2 linked regions of the Danio rerio genome follow. The main gene of each other region encodes a partner of the protein of the gene in region 2 in a complex. Links are inferred from orthologs where the notes say so. Each region holds a gene or a part of one and is shown on either strand. Other genes may lie near its edges.

The links. Proteins that work in one complex are often made in the same cells at the same time.
Region 1: cnot11 (region 2) and cnot7 share a complex: the UniProt entries of both Homo sapiens proteins name them as parts of the CCR4-NOT complex. The link is inferred for Danio rerio from reciprocal best matches to the Homo sapiens genes CNOT11 and CNOT7.

Annotation. Positions count from the first base shown.
Region 1 is NC_133189.1:34,922,580-34,926,244, forward strand, and holds part of cnot7 (CCR4-NOT transcription complex subunit 7), read left to right. Parts: intron 1-911; coding exon 912-1,105; intron 1,106-1,202; coding exon of another isoform or gene 1,203-1,247; coding exon 1,248-1,409; intron 1,410-3,665. UniProt on the Homo sapiens protein: Has 3'-5' poly(A) exoribonuclease activity for synthetic poly(A) RNA substrate. Its function seems to be partially redundant with that of CNOT8.
Region 2 is NC_133184.1:58,597,263-58,600,530, forward strand, and holds the end of cnot11 (CCR4-NOT transcription complex subunit 11), read left to right. Parts: coding exon of another isoform or gene 1-28; intron 29-339; coding exon of another isoform or gene 340-384; exon of another isoform or gene 385-1,838; intron 1,839-2,191; coding exon 2,192-2,389; 3' UTR 2,390-2,724; downstream 2,725-3,268. UniProt on the Homo sapiens protein: Component of the CCR4-NOT complex which is one of the major cellular mRNA deadenylases and is linked to various cellular processes including bulk mRNA degradation, miRNA-mediated repression, translational repression during translational initiation and general transcription regulation.

The sequences.
Region 1 (3,665 bases), on a different chromosome or scaffold from region 2:
GGGGGTCGCCGGCTGAAATGTTTGGGAACCCCTGGCTTAATCGAACAACTCAGTGAACCTTTACTTGCTGCCACCTGCTGGTGATTTTACTATCATATGTATTTGTCATTATACAGCATTATACTATTTAATTACTATTATATTATATATATATATATATATATATATATATATATATATATATATATATATATATATATATATATATATATATATATATATATATATATATATGGATGGATGGATGGATGGATGGATGGATGGATGGATGGATGGATGGATGGATGGATGGATAGATAGATAGATAGATAGATAGATAGATAGATAGATAGATAGATAGATAGATAGATAGATAGATAGATAGACAGCTGTAGATGCTACTGCTCTTTGTAAATGACAATACATCATGAAGGCTAAACTTTGGTTCTAATATTATTGCTAACAAACTAAATCTATGAAAAAAATGCAAACAATTTTAATATATTTTTAGATAAACATTTATTAAAATAAAAAAATTACAAAAGTTTTCATTAAAGGAGTTTTAAATTTTTATTTATTTGATTCTATCATGTATTTTTAAACTGAATATCACATATTTAAAACAATTCTTCAAAAAATACCATACTATAATAAATCATAATCAACAAAAATATTTACTTATGCATATACACTTAAAATATAATTCAAAGGGGAGTGGGATGAAGCACAAGCTTATTAAAAATAAAACTAAATAACTTGAATAAAAAATCTAAAAGCAATTTTTTTTTCTTATATTAGCCTCAAAGGCTTCTTAATAAAGATTAATATTTTGAAAAATCCCCAGCAAAGCCCCTTTTTGTATTTAACTATAACCTCGACTATAAATATGCAAATCCCCATGACAACCATCATGCGTTTTGTTGCATCTGTAGGACACAGAGTTTCCAGGTGTAGTAGCGAGACCAATCGGAGAATTTCGAAGCAATGCAGATTACCAGTACCAGCTGCTGCGGTGTAACGTGGACTTGTTAAAGATCATCCAGCTTGGCCTTACATTTATGAACGAACAGGGCGAATACCCACCAGGGACATCGACATGGCAGTTCAACTTTAAATTTAACCTCACGTAAGAATTGCACTTTGTATAACGCTCTTTTTTTTTTTTTTTATCAGAGCATCGTGTTTTAAAGAGAGATGACAAGGATGACTTTCCTTGTCTTCAGGTGTATCTGTGTGATACCTTCTGATAGCTGGCCTGTGTTTTTCAGGGAAGACATGTATGCACAGGACTCCATAGAGCTGCTCACGTCGTCGGGTATCCAGTTTAAGAAGCATGAGGAGGAGGGTATTGAGACAATGTATTTTGCTGAGCTGCTCATGACCTCAGGTGTGGTGCTTTGTGAAGGGGTCAAATGGCTCTCATTCCATAGGTAATCTCACTGTAACATTTACATACAGAAATCTAGGCCTGTGCAGTATGATGATATATACAGTTGAAGTCAGAATTATTAGCCCTGCTTTCTTATTATCCCTCCCTGTATATTTTCTTCTACAATTTCTATTTAACATAGAGTTTTTCTTTCAAAGCATAATAGTTTTAACAGGCGAGGCAGTGGCTCAGTAGGTAGTGCTGTCGCCTCACAGCAAGAAGGTCGCTGGGTCGCTGGTTCGAACCTCGGCTCGGTTGGCGTTTCTGTGTGGAGTTTGCATGTTCTCCCTGCCTTCGTGTGGGTTTCCTCCAGGTGCTCCGGTTTCCCCCACAGTCCAAAGACATGCGGTACAGGTGAATTGGTTAGGCTAAATTGTCCGTAGTGTATGAGTGTGTGTGTGAATGTGTGTGTGGGTGTTTTCCAGAGATGGGTTGCGGCTGGAAAGGCATCCGCTGCGTAAAAAAAAATTTGCCGGATAAGTGGGCGGTTCATTCCGCTGTGGCGACCCCGGATTAATAAAGTGACTAAGGGACGTCAAGAAAATGAATGAATGAATAGTTTTAACAGTGTATTTCTAACAGCTGATTTATTTTATCTTTGCCATGATAACAGTACTTAATATTCTACTAGATATTTATTAAGACACTACCATCCAGCTTAAAGTGCAATTTAAATGCTTATTAAAGGTTATTTCGTGAGTTAGGGTAATCATTGTATAACAGTGATTTGTTCTGTAGACTGTCAAAAAAAAAATTCTTAAGGGGGCTTATAATAATATTGACTTTAAAATGGATTTTTAAAAATCAGCTGCTTTGAAATAAAACAAATAAGACTTTTTCTAGAAGAAAATAATATTATAGGAAATACTGTGAAATATTCCGTGCTCTGTTAAACATCATTTGGGAAATATTTGACAAAGAAAAATAATTAACAGGGGGCTAATAATTTTGATTTCAACTGTATATAAACTACCTGGCAAAAGTCATGTCGCTTATCCAAGTTTTAGGAAAAACAAATAATAACTTGATTTCTAGTAGTTCAAGTGGCTTAAATGAAAGGCAAAGGCCTCTAGATTACGCTCATTTTACCAAAATAAAATACGATCACCCCTAACTTTTAATTATTTAATTAGGACAGTAAGGTCTGACTTTGCTTAGACAAAACTTACAGAAATATTGTACAGTATAGAATATAAAGTCATGGTGCAGTGGAAAAGAATTAATATTGTGTATGACTCCCATGAGCTTAGAGGACTTCATCCACACATCTCTGCAATGACTCAAATAACTTAAGAAAGTCATCTGAAATCGCAAAGAAAGCGTTCTTGCAGGACTCAGGTTTATCAAGATTCTTTGGATTTATCTTCAATGCCTTCTCCTTCATCTTACCCCAGACATGCTCAATAATGTTCATGTCTGGTGACTGGGCTGGCCAATCCTGGAGCACCTTGACCGTCTTTGCTTTCAGGAACTTTGATGTGGAGGCTGAAGTATGAGAAGGAGTGATCCTGCTGAAGAATTGTAAAGCAATGGGCAGCACAAATGTCTTGATACCTCAGGCTGTTGATGTTGCCATCCACTCTGCAGATCTCTCGCACACCCACATACTGAATGTAACCCCAAACCGTAATTTTTTCTTCACCAAACTTTACTGATACCTGTGAGAATCTGGACTATATTCAGGTTCCAATAAGTCTTCTGTAGTATATGTGAAGATCGAGATGCTGTTCAACAGATAATTCATCGGAAAAATCTACCTTCTGCCACTTTTACAAATGATCAACTAGAAATTGCTCTAGTTGCTCTTACAACTGGAATCAACGACAAGACTTTTGTCAGGTAGTGTATATGTGGACAAAATAAAAAGTATATAGTTTCATATTATGCTCTACTGTTTATTTTGTGATGTCAAAAAATACATTGCTTTTAGTAATTTTTTTTATAGTTGATATGAGTGCAATAATACACACCATTACGGGATTGGACACGGACACATGACTAGCAGCATGAGAAAGGTGTAATCTTGAAAGTGCAATGTTTACATTTTGCATTTTATTTTACGATTAAGCATTTTTGAAAATTGGTTCATATTTTGTTCAGATTTATTTACAATTTCTGGAATTAAACATTTGTCCCGATGTTCTAAGTAAATTGAGAAATATGATCACACATGAATGAGTACTTTTCTGATTATGTACTTTAAATTTTAAAAAAGTATTAGTCCTTTAAATGTGGTCAATATACACTCACCGGCCAC
Region 2 (3,268 bases):
AATGGACACTAACGGTCAAAGGTTTGGGGTAATGATCTAAAACAGTGGTTCTCAAACGGTTTTTCATCAAGTACCACCTCAGAAAACAATTGTCTCTCCAAGTACCACCAAAATGAGCAGCATTGAAATACAGTAGCGCAGTAGGTACAGTAAAGCAGCTACAACTCTGCACAGTTAAAAAACGTGGCAGATTACCTCAGAAATATAGGCTATATGTCATACATGGCATAATATATACATCATTTTTGATCAATTTTGTAATGTGTGTAGCATGTACATGACATATTTCATTCCTCCGCGTACCACTAGAAGAAAGCCTGCGTACCACACGTACCACAGTTTGAGAACCACTGTTCTAAAATTATTATTGATTTGATTGATTAATTGTTGATTATTATTGATTATTAATTTAAATAATAATGATTCTGTTCATCACGTACACGTAAACAAAATGTTAAATTGTTAAATACTTATTACAATTTTAAATAACTGCTTTCTTACTGTATGTAGTTTCAAATGAAATTATTACCCCATTCATTATTGCATTTATTACTATTACCATTAATAATAATAATTAGGGGTGTAACGATACACTCAGCTCACGATACGATGTGTATCACAATATAATGTTCACGATTCGATATGTATCACGATATAATGTTCACGATTCGATATGTATCACGATATTTGGAATAAAAATTGAAAATTAAACTGAAATGCAAATTTTACCAAGTAAACTATTTTTATGTATTTCTTTTGTTTCAACTTGTTAAACTGAACCTTCTTTAAGAAAATAAATGAAACAGGCCTGTCTCTGGAAAATAAAACAATTAAAAAACTTCTTAAAAAATATTATTGAAATGACAGAGACAAAATTAAGGAACAATTTAAGTAAAGGTGCAAAAAAAATAAGCTTTCTATTCAATTGAATTTAACAGTAAGAGCTTAAGGCTTTACTTGGTCACTTTCGTTTTTTGTGTGTGCAATGAAAATCCACATTTCCAGGTATTAATTCATATTTAATTAAATTCATTTAGAGATATCTCTAATTACAATTGTGACTAATCAAAACTCATTTAGAGATATCTGAAAATATTTTTCAATGGAGGAATATGACTAGTCATAATATATTTGCAGATATCTCCAATCTGATTTCGTACTAGTACAATTGTAATTGCAGATATCTCTAATTGTCATTCTGACTAGTCGAATTATAATTATGACTAGTCAAAATATAATTAGAGATATCTCTAAATATATTTATGGATAGTCAGAACAAAGGTTTAAATGCTAAAACTGCTTGCCATACGCGCGCGTCTATCAGTCCGCCCTCTGTAGTAACTCACGGTCAGCTCACGTCATGTGTGATTTTGCGGCGGGAACATTATATGAAGACAGAATGATATTTTAGGGTGAATTGTACCTTATAAATACAGTATGTGACTCTTTCAACACCATTAGGAGGTATCCCTGTCGCTGTGCAAAGTATGTAAATCACTGTGAAGACTTTAAAACTTAGGATGTTTGACCCAGTATGCGTGTCAAAAAGCGGACGAGTCTAAAGCAATGACTGTACAACCGAAATGTTGCCAGACGTCTGATTTTGAGAGGATGGGCCATCCTCTATTTCAACTCCACTCATCTTGGTCTGCTAACATTACTGCTGCTGCAATCTGAACTCACGTGCGACAGCAGGTGGAACGTAGCTCACGTGCAAACAGCTCAACTAATAAGAGAAAACGGACGTCATATCGTAATCTAATCGTCATAACGCCACCATGCATATCGAGACATTTTTGCATCGCAATAAATCGTACAACGATAAATCGTTACACCCCTAATAATAATAATAATAATAATATTATAATAATAACAGTAATAATGATTAATATCAGAGTGACTTGTGAAGGATCATGTGACTCTGAAGACTAGCTAAAAAATCATCATTAAATCACTGGAATATATGATTAAATTAAATGATAAACCACTGTTGAGCACTTCTTTATTTTATTATGCAATAACATTTCACTATTTTACCATCTGTTCTGTATTATTGATTAAATAAATGCCAAACTTTAGACCAGTAGTGTATGTGTGTGTGTGCATATGTATATGTGTGCATATGTGTGCATGTATATGAGTATGTGTGTGTGCGCGTGTCTGAATATTGTTGTGCTTGTGTGTCCTGCAGAACCGTCTGGTGCGTCTGGTCTGTGTGTTCCTGCAGTCTCTGATCCGCAATAAGATCATCAACGTTCAGGATCTGTTCATCGAGGTTCAGGCCTTCTGCATCGAGTTCAGCCGCATCCGTGAGGCCGCAGGGCTGTTCCGGCTCCTCAAGACACTCGACAACGGAGAGACGCCGGCCGAGGGCAAGACCAGCAAATGATGGAGCGCTTCCTGAACACACACACCGCTGAACTGATCTGCTTTATGCTTTTTATTTATGTGCAGGAGTCGTGCAGAAACAGCCTGACTGTGCTAAATCTCCATGAAGACGAGCATTCACTGATGACTGAGGTATGATGATGACGACTCCTGTAGTCATGGCTCATCACTGACTCAGCGTTTTCATATTCGCTCAACCAAAACTCTGCAGATTCAGTATTTGGGAATATGGCTTTCAGTAACTCTGAGAGTGTCTGAGCTGAATCCTTTATTAACGGCGCTCAGTAACTCCATTTCATTTGTGTATATTTTCTCAATAAACAACGTTTCAAAGCAGCTCTTCAGAACATCTCTGAGAATGATTGGTGGAATTTCAGCCACATTTACAGGATATACATTATTTATTTTATATATATATATATATTTGTGGTGTAACGGATCACGTATCTCATGGTAGGGCTGCTCGATTTTGAAAAAAATCATAATCACGATTATTTTAAACGATTATCAGTTGAAGTGAAAATTATTAGCGCTCCTGGGAATTTAGTTTTTTTAAATAACTATTTCCCAAATTATGTTAAACAGAGCAAGGAATTTTAACAGTATTTCCTCTAATATTTTTTTTCTTATGGAGAAAGGCTTATTTTTTTATTTTAGCTTGAAAAAAAGCAGGTTTAAATATTTTGAAACCCATTTTAAGGTCAATATTATTAGCCCCCTTAAGCAATATATGTTTGATTGTCTGCAGAAGAATCTACTGTTATACAATGACTTGTCTCATTACTCTGATTAAGCCTTTGAACTGCACTTTAATCTGAATGCTTGTATTCTAAAAAACATCTAGTAAAATGTTATGCACTGTCATCACAGCAAAGATAAA